Kluyveromyces lactis: one gene and its partners. The protein of the gene in region 2 interacts with the protein of the main gene of each other region in a biochemical or structural test. Links are inferred from orthologs where the notes say so. Each region holds a gene or a part of one and is shown on either strand. Other genes may lie near its edges.

Region 1 (5,836 bases), on a different chromosome or scaffold from region 2:
CATCTCTTTTACTAGTTTGGATATCGAAAGTTTATCTTCATTGGTTGCAAAACTTCCAAACAAATACCCTCATAAACCCAACATTGCGGCCGCAGTTACTTTCCAATGCATCAGATACGCTCATCACAAAAGGCATAATAGAACCATGATTGAATCTATCCATAACTCATGTCTTCAAAAGTTATTAGCGGCAGATCCGAACCAGGACATCCTAAAGCAATCTTATACGTTGGGATATCTCAACCTATTGTATTATTACATGTATCGTGACGAAATGGTCTTCCCTGCATACCCCCATTTATTACAGGATATTATAGACTCCATTCTACTGTTAATAAAAAATCTATCGGCATCCATCAATTCAAGACTAGAACCATTATTACATCCTGGAATCCTTGAATATACAACGATCTCTGATGTTAAGGAAACGTTGTACAAAAATGACTGGAACTTTTTCAAGAAGCGGAAGCTCAAGCGTATGAAACATGATTCATATGACGACATTCTTCAGCTTTTGTATCCTCCCTCAGTAAAGGAACAAATGAAACCTTCTCCTCTTAAAATCGTTCAGATTTTTGGTGCCTTGACATATGTTTTCGACTTGCATGACATTCATCCAGTTCTTTTGCAACAGTGCTTGTCTATATCATCTAAGTGGTTGGCTAATACAATTTTCAACGAGATTATACAATCTAAGCAACTCTCTTCAAGAGCACACGCGATGCAAATAAGATTGAATCTCTCGATCTTACAAGATTGGGTGAAAAACCATAACTTTTCTGTCCAGAAGCCCGATCTAATGGATGACTTCATGTGGCAAAGGTTCCCACTGACTATAGTTCAAGATGTTGGATCCATTGATCTGAAGAAGCCTTCTCAACCTCTTGAAAACGTTTATTTCTATAAACCGATCAAAAAGGAACCTTGTACGGACGAATCAAACTCATTATTCTTTTACCAATCTTTTGCACATATCTGGCAATTTCATTTGGAACCAGTTTATCAACTATTACAATGGTTACAAGTTGCCACTTCCTTGGATCCGAATGAAGATGTTCTGAATGGTACTATTGATAGGTTAAGCCGATTAAACGTTACACAGTTGTATAAATCGTTGGATCGTTACAGATATGAACTCAATGAAGGAAAAACCAGCATGAAGAAACTTTTGAAGCAAAAGGTGAAAGCTATCAAAGATCAACAACCCGTTTTACTTGACATCGAATTTTCTGTTAAGCTAACTCTACCTACCCTTCAAGAGCTATACTTTTTATATGATGAATGCGAGTCCAGTTATAGATTTTTGCCGATTTTACCAATTGCGATACAAGATGAAATAGACGAAATTCATGACCAGATCAAAATTGATAATCAGTTTGAGGTGTCATCTAATGCCTTTGAAGACATGGACGAACCAAAACCCGCTGCACATGCAGTTTGGACCTCTAATGAAATGAAACTTACAGAAAATCCTTGGTGAACATTAAGTAAATAATTTATTGATATGCGGATTTAAACTAAATGGTTAAAGTTTGCTTCGATTTTTATAAATGCCTTGTTTATAGAGGAATCGAATATATGCATCCATTGGGATTATGCAATTTGGAAATATTAGTCCTAACTCTGACATGATATTCTTCTGTTAGTGATTTTTTCCGTTGTTCTTGATCTTTAGTTAGATTAGATGAATCATGTCTATTTTGTATCTCATGCAGGTCTTTTACACTATCCCATTCATTTGTTCTACCTGACATGAAATTGGTATGATTGATTGAGTCTTCAAAATACTTGTCTTCTATTTCTGAGGAGTCATTCTGAGGACCGAATCGTGCGAAGGCTTTAGTCAGGTTCTGAGTATCTATATCAGCATTTTCTTTCGATCCAGTTCTGGGTACTCTTTCTCCTTCGGATTTTGGTATTTCCGAACTTGACACAAGGTATACAAATGATGATACAGACCATTCGTACCAAACTCTGCTATTTAAGTCATTTCTAGTAATGAATACTTCAAGTTCAGTGTCATCATTTAAGAACAAGGGTTCCTTCAAGGGGAAAAACATTGGTGACCATGATTTCATATTTTCCGTATGATTCACTTTAGTGGCAGTTGATCCGTTATGGCTTCTGGAGTTATCTATGTTAGAATTTTCCTGATCTTCTAAAGTTTTAATGACAGAGTCATTTGGAACTATGCTCAAGGTTATATCTCCGTATAATGTTGCAATAAAGTATCCAGCAATACCATGAATTTCACTTTTATGCTTTACTCGAAAGTGGGATATTGAACTTTTGTTAAATTGATGCTGTTGTTGATGCAAATGTGAGAATGACCATATTTCATTTACTCTGGATGATGTACGGCAATATGGAACATTGTGAATTATTGAAGGTTTTTCGAGATATTCTGGTCCTTTTTCAATGAGGCTTTGGTATAAAATTGGAGATGATATAGGAGACGCATAGGAACTATATCCTTGAGGAATAAACCTTGTGTTAGGTTTTGAATGGAAAGCTTCTATTGGAGCAATACATTCGGGAGATAACTCGTTACAGCCGAAAGACCCCAAAAGTTCACTGATGCAGAGATCGACTTTAATATTTTCATCCCATTCTCGGATGTCAGTACGGATAACTTCAACTTTGTTGTCCCAGTGTTCAAAGTTGCGTTTCTGTAAATAGAGAAGTGCTTGTGGGTTTTTTTCGATAGCCAATAGCCTGAAGTTGGTTACTCCAAGTTTATGTAACACTTGGAATGTCTTATCCACCAATGGACCCCTGCCTGCACCTGCAACTAATGTGATAAGTTCTGTAGGGCCTCTCCAACTGGACGAATTTTCTGTCAAAATTTCAGATACAGCGACCATGATAGCCCTCTCGTATAATTCGTACTTGACAGTATCCTTTTCGAAAACTTGGTAAACTGCATTCGAAAGATTATCATGATGGGGTAGTAGCGGAGGCATGATTGTAGGTGCACTGTGGACAACATCTTGGGTCTCCATTAGTATGAGCTTATCTCCCTTTTTCAATAAATAATTGAGGTATTCTAGGTACTGTGTAGGTTCAATTTTGAGTTTATCCGTGTATTTCTCCATACCATGTAAAACGATAGCTAGTTCGCCAAATGTTGATGCGTTACCGTTAACACGTTGGAACTCAGTGATTAAATGCTGATTAAATTTATTCAATACAGGGTAATTGTATTGATTTGTTGTGAATATGGATGCAGAGATCAAAAGACATGTGACAGGTTCGCTCAGCCATCTGTTTAGCACAAAACTGGGAGTCTTCTGTCTAGGTAGAGCTAGAGATACAGTCAATTTAGGCTCGTATCCGCACATTTTCCTGATCGTGTTCCACAGTTCCCAAGTCGAAAGTGGATCTGAATCTTCAAACAAAGGTAACGAAATAGATATTGTCGGACACGCTTCTTTAAAAGTATCAAATACTGTACACAAAGATTGTGCGTAGTAATGAAGCGTGTGTAACTTTTTAGGAGGAGCTAAGATAACCTGTCTGATTCCAACGAAATTTGCATAATGCAATTCGTGCTCCAACACTTGCAAAGATAAAGTCCGGACATCAGCATCATGGCTCTCGAGCTCTAAAAAGTAAGAGACCAATCCAATATATGAAACATTTCCATTAGATGGCAATACCCCCAGCTCTTGCAATTGAGGAGGATCTAACTTTAGTTCTTCATTCCATCCATGACCGTGATCTCGAAAATCTTCAAACTTGGCCTTCATGGCATCCTTGTATCTGGTATTTGTCAAGGGCAGCAGCACATAGTCATAATTCTCTACTCTTTTATCTGTAGAAGAAGTTCCAAGAACATCAGCGGAATGTTCACTGTGAGGTTTGATCCCGACGAAAACATTACTTCGACTTGCCATTTCAGCACATACAAACACACAAACGCAGCACGCAGAACAGTTTCACAACAACAGTCAAACGTTTATTGGTAAACCCTTCTTCAGCTATACCGTAATTATGGTAGACACTACACCAGTGATAGCTCTGTGTCCTATTCTTTTACCTCATCTCTGACCATCAATAGTGACGGATCTGGTTTCTGTCCTAAACAATATTTATTTTCATTTTTTTTTTGTAAACAATACTATTTTAATACCTAAGATCTTTTCAGTTATGCTAAAGACATGATATGTGATGAGCGAATAAGATCCAGCATCAGTAGTCTAGGGTTAATTAACACTCCAATTGTATAGCTTAAGTTGTGATCGAATCTAACAATGTATTCGACGCACGCTTTCCAAGGCAGAAAGCTTTCTGATCAGGAAAGAACGAGAGTTCTCGAATTTCAAGATAGCATTCATTATTCACCAAGATACTCCGACGATACACACGAATACAGACATGTAATGCTTCCCAAGGCCATGCTAAAAGTGATACCTTCTGATTATTTCAACGGAGACACTGGTACTTTGCGAATCTTAACAGAAGACGAATGGAGAGGGTTAGGAATTACACAATCTCTGGGATGGGAACATTACGAATGCCATGCGCCTGAACCACATATTTTACTATTTAAGAGACCACTGAATTACGAGGCTGAAATACGTGCGGCGCATGCTGCCGCACAGCAGCAGCAAAAATCAATTGCTGCAGGCCAACAAAGTCAAAATATATGAACTACCCACTAAAGACTTTAAAATGAAATAATAAGAAAATCGTATTCCAGTTTTACGCGTTACACTGTTAATAAGAGAGAATAATGTTTCCCCAAAGATCTGCAATTCCTGGCTGCACACTTTGTGTAAGTTAGTCTTCTGTTGTCAAACTTGCAAATGGCTTAAGACGCCTGAATTGTACTTCTGGAGAAGTGTTTAGCATATGTACATACCACATTTATGTATGTGTTGAGATTCCTTATTGATACCAAAATTTGTATATAAGTCAAATTATAAATAATGAAACTAACCAAAAACAAACGCTGGACTATGAAAGAAACACAGTTTTCTCTCGTTAGGGCGTCCTAGGTGAGTGTGATTGAGAGTGCAGTTGCCGTGTAAGAGTAATATCTTCTCAGCGTATAGGAAATGGATAATCCTAGGGTAAAATATCTGGAAGAACTGATACTGGCGTTAAAATCAGCAGGAACTGTAGGAAATGGTATAGAGTTAGATAGCACTTTGCAATTAGATGAAAAGAATGGGAAATTACTACAGACATTGTTGAAGAATACGCAATCTACGAATACGGATGAGGTGATCTTTCACAAATCCTTTCAAGCACTTGATTTATTTCTGCGATGCAACCAACACCTTTTCTCAGCCAATGTTAAAGAGATTACTATGATCGAGGTTATTTTAAACAATATGGTTAGTTGTTCGCTAATGCATTGGTCCAATATGCAATATATTTGGCTTATAAACAAATACGTGAGTGCATGGTTAAAAGCGTACTCTTTTGCATCGACCTCCAATTTACAGATTTGGTTCACTGAACAAATGGTTCAGTATGAAAAGTTACTAGTAACATGTCTGAGAGGTAAGCTAGAGAAGCCGACGTTTCATTCCCTCTTGAAAAAAATAGTGATAGTGAACGGTTGGATTATGAGGGATGGACTACTTCGAAATTACAGCTATAGAAGATGGCAAAGTCAGTTTCAGAAATTGATGCGATTGCTAGCCTTTGTTTTGAAATCAACTAACGAACCAAGTGTCGAAGTTGCGAGCATCTTGCAATTACTTGTTCGTTACATCTCTTTATCTAAAGAGTCATTGTCAATATTCAGATTCTCGTTTGACCTCATACAAACTTTAATTAAAGATCATCATCAGCATATCTCTCCGACCATTTTAGCCAAGACTTT
Region 2 (5,706 bases):
TGAAATGAAACGAAACAAACTTTGATGATATGGATGAGGGCATAAGTTTTTGGAATTTAAGGACTAATAATAGATGTAAAATGGAATAATTTTCTCTAATCGGTCGGTTAAATGATGGAATTTACCTGATTGTATTAAGCTTAACCTACCGAGTGGACATTCTATTGAAGGGACAACGAAGAAATTATATCAATCTTTAGATGAGGATAAACTCAGGAAATCAATGAGATGATCGGCCCTTTTTAGCGACTCTGAAAAACAAGAAACACGCCTCACATTCTGTCTCCAGATGAGCTGTAGTTCAGTAATGGCGTGATGGATATCAAGGTACCAGCCACCCCGTACGTTTCAAAAATCACAATTTTACTAACAATTTTCTATCATTTCGTGTGATATTCTTTTAAACAGGCTAAGAAGTCTTTCATCATCAAGCAGAAGTTGGCTAAGGCCAAGAACCAAAACAGACCATTGCCACAATGGTACAGATTGAAGACCAACAACAAGATCCGTTACAACGCTAAGAGAAGACACTGGAGAAGAACAAAGTTGGGTTTGTAAACTTTTTGTACATATCGGAAGAACGCACAACAATTTTTCTTATTATGTCAATTTTCTCTACAGTTTGCAAAGTATACTCTACTTATGTATAGATAGGGTCAGTTTAATAAATTCAACATCGTTTTACGGTTTTTAATTAAAACTATGTATTACTCAAAGATATTATCTTTATGTTAACCTCTTTTTTAATCTAAAAATTCATACTCTGCCAAGTATTACCGAATTGCTTCGCGTTGGAATATCAACAAGGTACGGTATGCAAAGATAAATGGATGAGGCTACATAGATAATTCAAGTTTTGGAAAAATATCAGAGGTATTAAAAATGTTCAAATACACTAAAATCATTATAATTTCAGATACTATCTAGCTTAAAGAGTGTTTGATAACTCATCATATTATTGATCCAAAACGCGAGTTCATTATATAAGAATTGTGGGTGTTAACCTATAAGTATGCACAAGTACGTGCATCCTCTAACGTGACCTCACGTCGTTATCCCCACCTGGTGTTCGTTTTTGTTCAAACGTTGCACACCACTGCATCTCTCTCGTTGTAATTTCTCATAAAGTCTCTGAATATCTGTTTAATATACATGTTCCTCATGTATATTTTTTATGTCAAAAAATTAAAAAACCAGTAAAAGTAAAAGGAAAATGAACGGAGCTGTTATTATGTCAGTATTAGGGCATTATAGAGAAAGAACAGACGTAAACTGGTTTATGTAAAGCTGGTTTATGTAAAGCTGAATATCATAACATGTTCTATATTTTCTTGAAGTGAATTAGGAGAAGAATTCTGGTTTTGGGCCGTAGTCATCCTCATGAATAACTGCACCTGTCTTTCTTGTTAGTTCTACATATTCTAATTCCTCGGTGCGGAGTAAATCAGATGCAGATGGACGATCTCTGTAATCCGGTTCGATCATCCATCTGATAGTCCTTTCCAGCGATATTCCGTCTAATAAAAACTTCGGTACCCACGCTGGAATTTTTGTCTCATGCGTTGTGATGTCAGTGATATTCGTATGATCTTTTTTATTGGAAAAGAGTGAGCTCGAATGGATCTCCGCACTACTTAATCTGCCAGCATCAGATAGATCACCAGACCTCAATTTATGCCATGCACTTCCGTTATCAGGCAAAATAACGTTAGCAGCGATTTCAATCATCATTAGCCCAAGGGAGAAGATGTCAGCACGGAAATCGTATATTCCGTCACGTATAATTTCCGGGGCAATATATTCACGGTCACCCTCGTTTTCAAAACTTTTATCTTCTATTGGCAACTTTGTAGCCATCCCAAAATCAGCAAGTTTCAAATTACCTTCGAAAGTTATGAGAACATTAGCTGGCTTCAAATCTAAATGAACAATTGAACAGGAATCATGGATGAATCTCAAAGCTAGACAGATTTCAACGATAATCTTCCATATCCTCCAATCTTCCAATCGTTGTTGTTTAGCAATGACGTGCTCTTGTATAAAAGCATCTAAATTTCCATTTTCGCAGAATTCTGTCATTATATAAAATGAACCTTTATGTGACCACGAAGAAATAAATTCTACGATATATTCCTTACCTTCTGTGTCATTTGTAACTGAATCCTGAATTGTTGACAACATATTGATTTCTTGTAGAATTCGATTGGTAAAATTATGTTTAGTTGGTCGTACACTTTTGATGGCGTATTTTAAACCAGTTTCTGGGAAAGTCACTTGGTAGACAGTAGAAAACTGACCTTTTCCCATTATGGATACATTACTGAATTTGGTCGTTAGATGGAAATCAGGGTTTTTCATGATACTTGCATTGATTGATCTTTGCTTCTCAGGTGGTTGAAGATGTGTTGGATCGTTTCGCAGTTTTGTCATGATAGCCAGAGAATCAGGACCAATATCAAAGGATGTTTTCGTTGGAGTTTGAAGATTTGTCTTTGAGGGTGACGGTGAAAAGATTGAACTTTCTTGATCGTGTCCGTACAAATCGTCCGTGATTTGTCTCAACATTGAGGTCAATTCTGTGTTCTTTACAATTTTAGTTCTCTTTTTAGATCTTGGATTAGAGGAACTGGTAGGAGAGTTTTCTGATGAAGGTAACACGGTATTTATCATCGGGGGAGATTTGAAAAGTTGGGAATCATACATCGTAGGAAATGTCGTCTGATTTTGTGCTGACATGATAGATGAATGCTCTAATATTGGTGTGTCCAAAAGTTCTTGGTCAGAATGTCTCGAAACCAGCGGAGACTTCTTCACAGGCGTATCTGGTATTGTCAACTTCTTGGGTAGAATTGTTTGTTTCATTTTGGAAATAAGGCCAGATGACTGAAAAGCTACAGGATCCGGTTTTGCTTCTGTAAACGAATTATTACTTTTTCCTGTAGTCTTAGTGGAGGACAAATCACTAGATGTTGCAGCATTCGTACTATGCCAACTCTTTAAATATGCAGCATTGTTCTTGGAAAATGGAGAGGATATATTGAATCCAGTCTTGCTCACAGTTCTCTTTAAACTATTAGATGCTGAATTGGAGGCACTTGTAGTGATGAGGGGCCTTTGAAGCTGTGGTACTCTGCTGTCGATATGGGACTGATTTTCCTCATTAAACTTTTGATCTTTCACATCAGGCGTTTCAGTCTCCAATGAAAGATTGAGAACACCAACACTTCTCGTAAGACCCAACGGAGTGTCATTAGAATTAGATCTTGAACTCAGAGGTTCCGAGTAAAACTTGAGATTATTGGAATTGTTACTGAAGTGCGAAAGCTGGTCATAGTAATGAAACTCAACGTCCAGGTCCATATCCGTATCAAGATCGACATCACTTTGGTATGCATGGTCAGTCTCTTCTTCATTTATGTCTTGGTAAACTTCTACCCGAGGTGAAAGTGCAGTGTTGACAGTTACGCGCCCAAAGTTTGGCTGCAGTGAGTTTTTCCGTTTCGATGGCATTGTTTATGTCGTGCTTTTGATGATCCCCTTCGATGAGTACTTTATTCTTCAGTGATTACTTTTTGTCACACCGTCGAGTAACTATTTACTGAAACAAAAACACCCAAATTATGGCCCCTTGGCGGGTGGGTTCTCGTTGTCCTTGTTCTGAACTGTCAAAACAGAACCTGGTACAGAATTAACAGACAACCAGGAAAGCTGTCTTAAAACAACAAACAATAGACTTTTGTCAACTATTGGAAGGATCCAATAGAACGAATCTAGTTGATGGTAGAACTGTGATGGTTAAAGTGTTGAGGTTGGTTCCTCTAGATCTCTTTTTTTTTGTTTTCACCTGTGTGTTTACTTCATCGATTTTTGATCTTCTCAACACGTCGTTCTGTTTCTATGTTTTTCGTTTTTTTTCGCGTGTTGATGATTTTCGTGGCAATCGTTAGGCAACTGCAAAGACGGGCCATTCCCTAACATAACACACTTGGCAAGAATGAGCCTGGCAGGACTATTATATGAGTGGAAGGGCAGAATTTCTATGTTTCAGTGGGGATCACTGTTTCTATCGAATGTGCGTCTGTTCAGAAACTTGCATATCGTCGTGTTTTTTCTTATCCGATTTGAATAAATAGACAGTTATGATAGTTCACAACGTATATAAGAACTAACATAAATAATAAATAGCAGGCACTTTATGATATGACGGCCTGATGCTGCAGTGTTTTGTGTGTGTTTATGTGTGTGTTTTGCTTGATTCTTGGAGTAGAAACTTATAAGTCTTGGGCATCAAGGGTCTTGAATTTTATAGGTTTGTTTTCTTGAGGGAAATCAATACCGTTTTCAAGTAATACTACAAAGGCCTTGGTGAATTCTTTAAAGAATGTGTCTTGGTCGTTTGCAAATTCTTTCACGATAGGCAAGTATTTCGGATCCTGTACCAAGGCCATATCTGTTGGTAACATCATCCAGCCCTTATCGTTGACGTATTGTTTGTTACCGGCATCGTTAGTGATGAGGTCCCATTTTTCGTTTAGCAGGTTGTTGTAGAATTCATTGGTGAAGATATTGGTGGCAGCACCCCATGGGCCTTCGAAGCCAGAGTTCTTCAAATGTGTCTTACCCAAAGCATGCGCACCCAACAATGCAACTACTTGTCTATCTTCGAAGTTTAGTCTGTGGAAGAAGCATCTCACGTATTTCGCATCTTTAGAAGCATCAGGTAATCTACCGTTTTCTGGAGTAGTATCCTCAGGTTGGTCCACACGACCAGATCTCCAAGGAATTGTGGGACCTTGCATCTCTTGAATCGCCGTAACGCCAGCCAAACTATATAAATCACCATGAGATAACCAAGGGTACTTCTCGTGGATTGGTTCCAAGAACTTCGCAGCGTTTTGCAACCCATTGTTGGACGGATCGTTGGTCTCCATCGCGAATCTGTAAGTACCACCGTAAGGACCACCGGTGTTATCCTTTGCATCCCAAGTACCAGCACAGTGCCATGCTAAACGTACTAACACAGGTCCGTAACCGATAAAGTCGTCGTATTCGTCTTCGTCCCTTATCTTGAGCGCAATATCGTTGTAAACTTTTTGATACTTGGCAACGTCGTATTTCTCCTTTGCTGCGACATGAGCAGCTGCTAACGCAGCCAATTTTTGTTTGTTATAATTACGATTGTTGTAATTCCTCATATCTTGATATTCCATCACTGTACCAGTGGCAGAACCGGCAAGAGCACCGGCACCGACTATAAATGACAACGTCTTGACGTTGACACGTCTGAACACATTACCGAAAGTTGTTGACATTCTCTAAAACAGCCTTAGCTTGTTGATGGTCTACCTACTTTAAGTCTACTTGTAAGAATAAATCCAACATCATGGCAATCAATAACCCTTTGAGACCTTTATCGTCTGTTGCTGCCTTATATACGTTTTAAATAATGACGTTCCTCGAGAAAAATTCCTTTACTCATCATGCATACAAATAGTAAGCAACCTAATAAAGCCCAGCCATTCTCGAGCGATTTGAAATAATAGCAGAACTACCCTGTAGAACCACTGACAACCGCTGACTCCTCCTTTTACTAATATGGAATACATCATCTGGAACTTACGAAAGGGGTTCATAGAATCGTATCACTTCTCGAATGATTATTATTCAAGCTGTTACGGCATTCCAGCAGTGGCCTGGTTCGTCCGT
Region 3 (4,592 bases), on a different chromosome or scaffold from region 2:
CTATTGATTCCGAAGTCTTTCAAAATGACAATGAACTACTAAACTGGGACCAAATATTACAGCAATTAATTGATCTGATGAAACATGACTATTTATCAAGAAAAAACATGATGATTCAACTCAAAGCCAAAGAGTTGAATATAAAGGAGTTGAATATCGAAGTGGCTAATTTAAAGAAGTCTTTGAAAGAATTTGGGCACTTAAAATACCATTTACATAAACAGCTTGAGCTGAACGACAAATTACAACAACAAGTGGAACAATACAGGAATGAATTCAGAGAATTGGAATCCGAAATAAAAGGGATTAGGGGGAGTATGCCAGATAAGAACATTCGTCGTTGATAGAAGCCCTTTTTTACAAATTTTGGATAAGGTGCTGTGACTTTACAAGTTCTTACTCAGGCAGTTTTTAAAGGGGAACAAGCAAGATATTGCAAAATACGTGTGAAATATAAAATTCAACGTGAACCCTGAGCTGTGGACTAATACCAAGGGGTAAGAATAACATTACAAAAGCGGTATATTTTCTGTCAGGGATAAACATGACGGTATACCATGATGTATATATTTTGTTTTGATCGTGGGCCTATCAATAAATATATATATATATATGATAACTGAATCAATAGGAAAGTCACCAGAGGTAAGTTCTTAATGATATAATTGACGGTTGTAGCTAATGAAAGAAGTTTGAAAGAGCTTTATGTATATTTTCTATGTTGAAGAAAATTCGAAATTATTATAGTGATCTTGTAAAGATGTTAGATTGAAATGTGTTGTTTAGTGATTTATCATCAGTCCGAACAAGTTTACGAGATTGATGCATGATTAAACGGGAAAGAAAAGAAATGAAGGATGCATAGTTGTCAAGACAATTCACATAATTAGAACTCATTTCCAAGGAACTTTCTAAAGTTCGAATTCATACCATTTGAAAATCTTTCAGGCATTTCCTCCTTTGTCTTTCTTACAACCCCCTTATATCTCATATCCTGATGGAGGTCCAAAACCAGAAAAAACATTCCATAGATATTGCACACAGCACCGGCTAGGGTTACTGTCATCGAAAAGTGTTATTAAGTTATTAGTTACTTGATGCATCGTTAGTTGTTCACTTTCCAATATAATATCTGAGGGGCTGAAATGTAGATTCAGCGTTATGGTGAATTGAAAAAGGACAGTTTCCAGTTTTATGTTTGGTTATGACAATCATCATTTAGAGGTGCGAATGCTCCAAACAAAATCAATAAAGACGTTGAAGTTGTTACAGGTTCATGAATTTATACTGGAGGTCAAAATAGTATATCACTACAGTAGTAACCAAACTTCAACGTGTGTTTATAATTGTATATTGAAGTAGAAAGACAAGACAGTAGTGAGGAAAGAAATGTGAATGAATGTGATACGCTGAGAAGCACTGCTTCTGAGGGAATAAAAAAGTTGTAAGGGATTCATATCATTTCATTTCTGCATCTTCTAACTCCTCGCTTTCTTCCATTAATTTACTTCTTCTATCCATTACGCTTTCATCTAGAGAATCTTCTGCTTCTTCAGGCACCAGATCTTCATCTTCATCTGAGTCGATATCGTTTTTGTTAGCTTTTTTGCTGAAATTCAAGTTTGAAGAATCTTTGCTGAAAACATCGTCATTATCCTCTTCATCTTCTGAATCCTCGTATGCATAGATATCCACATCTTCATCACCTTCGTCACTGTCGTACCAGAAATTATCGGCAACGGTTTCTTTGATGGTGTCAATACCTTCATTTGCCTTTCTTTGGGAAACATACGCCTTTGTTGATTCTGGCATCACGAACCCTTGCGGGATATCCTGTTTTGATCTTTCCACTTCGAGTTTTACCTTTTGTTTGTACTGATCCGGATTCTTCTTGTAGTCAACAGCAGCGTCGACGTTAGCTGGAGAGGAAATATTTGGATCTTCTAACAAGGAGACAATAGAAATCAACACTGATTCCACAGTCTGTACTGGAGACCAAGTTTCTTCATCGGGCTCATCCGAGGTGGGGTTCCCCGATTGGTGTAAGATAGAAATACACAACCTACCATCACGGTAAACGTTCGGGTGGTAAATTGCTGGAGTAAATCTAAAAGTTGGAGGAGAAAATGGGAAATCGTCCGGGAATTTCATTTGAGCCTTGAAATAACCTCCGTGGTAGATGGATTCCTCATTTAAGACCATTACACCGATGTTCCACAAGAATATGTTTGAATCATCTTCTAATGCAATATGGAAACTAGGAATAGCCTTCTTCGGATCAGTGAGTTCCCTGTATTGTCGTAATAACAAAGAAGCTGCAGTATTCTTGCCGCTCATACTTTAGAAAGAGTATTTCTATGGTAAAAAGATGTTCTGTGTGCTGATTGAAACTTCCCCCTTTTTCCAAAACTGATATATCCAGACCAAGAAAGTTCAGTTATTAGGGCTGACGATTAGAAGTAACTGTTGCTTGGTGTTCCTCAGTGATAAGATATCTCCGAGTAAATTTGACAATAATATGTTGCTAGAACTTAACAAAAACGTTAGGAAGAGAAAGAAAAAAGTAATGAAACGTAAAGCCAAACAAAAGATAGGACAATACAATATACCAACTGAGTAGTGTGAGTTTTTGCGTTTGTACAAGTATACCCGCCCAAAAGTCTATGCAACCTCTCCTTATCACCTGTTTATTGATACTCTCATTTAAATGCAAATACAATAATTTGTAATTAAAATTAATAGTTGTCTGTGTTTTGACCTTTTAAATTTCTTCTGAAACTGGTTTACAAAAAAGAACCAAGCTGAATGCCGAAAAGTCAAGAAAAACCGTCCCAAGACAAAATAAGCAAAAACCGTTGGGTTGTGTACTCTTGGAAGATACCGTTCTATTGTTCAGGTTGGGGGTTTAATCGATATTTATACTATAGCTATATGTCTCTATATTTTTTACCGTCTTGTAAGCTTTTCGTCCCCAGGCATTATTCATGTTGATTTGCACAACCAGGTATGCGTTAATAATCCATGGATGAAAGTAACAGTATTTAAGGCATCAACATTTACGCATGAATGTTTATTTTCCAATTGATGGGGAATGCGGGGGCCAATTACATCAATTTTTTCGAATGTATCTAATGCATCCGGCAAAATATCACTTCTACCGCATCGTTGTGAGAGCGTGCATTTTAACTGATAAGCTGAACACTAGGATTAAATGTGAATCGGAGAACTCTGGTAGTCAGTTGTTACGTTCAAGATTCTTATTTATACTCTAGACTAGTTCTTCATCGGGCAGTAGTATATTCTGCTCGGCGTCAGCAAACGTTAGACTCGCCGCTTTCACCGATAGGAACAGTGGAAAAGTTCACGTGACCTTAGGTCACGTGAACACCAATCACCATCTCCTTCTTTTCTCATTCTCGTAAGGTTTTCCGAACTGAGCCATAGGGCAATAACGCTCATCAAGTCTGAATCGTACCATTTTGAACTATACAGCACTTCACCATAGCTCAACAGGCCTAATTCCCTTACATATTCACCTCAAGGTGGATGTTTTGCTGAGATCCTGCCGTCCTCACATTCGGAACGTTATAAGATTTGTATCTCGCGACGGCGTGTTGGAGTTGCAACTCGATGCTATATGTTTTCTCGTCTGCGCGCTTTTCTTTGTGTGCCGAAATTTGTTTTCGTCCAAAGTACTTTCTTTGACTTATTTTCCTTTAAATCAGAAGATTATTTCTTGTTTTTCTGTCTATTTACTATTTCAGATCCAGTATAAAATATAGGACAAATGCCTATAGTGATGAAGATAAATACAGGGCTTGGTATAAGAAATCTGCCGTTATTTTTCTTTCTCTGCGTTGGCCAACTTATCAAATCAGGTTCTTCAAATTGTGAAAATACCTGGTATCAGCTTACTGTGCGAAACTGTGTCATTGAGAACGTTTTATTGTTTGTGGGGTTCAAGTTTTCTCTAGCTGGATATAGCAATTTGAAATATCCATCTTAAAGCAACTAATAACAAATTTTGAACCCATCCATTGCGATATCATGAGTTATAAGGATCCGATACTCTCGCAGTTCAAAAATAAGGATACCATTGATGCGAAAGTTATTACGGAGTTGATCGAGGATGCGCGCGTTCAAAACACATCGGACCGTACTCAAATTATAAACGATGAACTGCATGAAAGAACCGTGGAAAAGTGTAAAGAATCACTATCTATTTATACAGATCTTGTCAAGTTGAGCTTCCTGTTGGCTAAGTCATGGGATTTAAAGACGTTGGAACAAACCGTGATGCTAAGGTTTGGATTGCAAGATATTATCGGTACGAGTGAATTGGCTAGTTCCGGGAATAAATCACAGGGAGAAGATTTCGATAGAGATATAGCCTTGAAGACAATATCAAAATGTGATAAATTATCCGTAGCATTGGAACAATTGTCGCTTGATTCAAGGTCGGTTATGGTTTTCATAAAACAGGCGACTGAAACAAACGATGTTACTGTACTCCTGTCGGATGCAATGACTCTGTTATTGGAGATTTGGTTTCTATGTGGTCACCAGCTAAGGAAATTGAAGAGAAAAGTTGC

Evidence for each region.
Region 1: the proteins of SWE1 (region 2) and HSL7 form a complex in vitro, tested with the Saccharomyces cerevisiae proteins (2 studies listed by BioGRID). The link is inferred for Kluyveromyces lactis from reciprocal best matches to the Saccharomyces cerevisiae genes SWE1 and HSL7.
Region 3: of the proteins of SWE1 (region 2) and CDC34, one has a biochemical effect on the other in vitro, tested with the Saccharomyces cerevisiae proteins (2 studies listed by BioGRID). The link is inferred for Kluyveromyces lactis from reciprocal best matches to the Saccharomyces cerevisiae genes SWE1 and CDC34.

What each region holds. Positions count from the first base shown.
Region 1 is NC_006039.1:1,373,968-1,379,803, reverse strand, and holds HSL7 (protein arginine N-methyltransferase), read right to left. Parts: upstream 3,897-5,836; coding exon 1,560-3,896; downstream 1-1,559. Other genes in the region: KLLA0_C15851g (uncharacterized protein), read left to right, coding at 1-1,480; cyclin-dependent protein kinase regulatory subunit CKS1, read left to right, coding at 4,254-4,652; protein kinase MEC1, read left to right, coding at 5,061-5,836.
Region 2 is NC_006038.1:657,395-663,100, reverse strand, and holds SWE1 (tyrosine protein kinase SWE1), read right to left. Parts: upstream 3,511-5,706; coding exon 1,342-3,510; downstream 1-1,341. Other genes in the region: CCP1 (cytochrome-c peroxidase), read right to left, coding at 4,272-5,312. UniProt on the Saccharomyces cerevisiae protein: Protein kinase that acts as a negative regulator of entry into mitosis (G2 to M transition) by phosphorylating and inhibiting the mitosis-promoting cyclin B-bound CDC28 at 'Tyr-19'.
Region 3 is NC_006040.1:770,540-775,131, reverse strand, and holds CDC34 (SCF E2 ubiquitin-protein ligase catalytic subunit CDC34), read right to left. Parts: upstream 2,338-4,592; coding exon 1,459-2,337; downstream 1-1,458. Other genes in the region: KLLA0_D09218g (uncharacterized protein), read left to right, coding at 1-344; MDM36 (Mdm36p), read left to right, coding at 4,048-4,592. UniProt on the Saccharomyces cerevisiae protein: Catalyzes the covalent attachment of ubiquitin to other proteins. Capable, in vitro, to ubiquitinate histone H2A. Mediates the initiation of DNA replication (transition of G1 to S phase in cell cycle).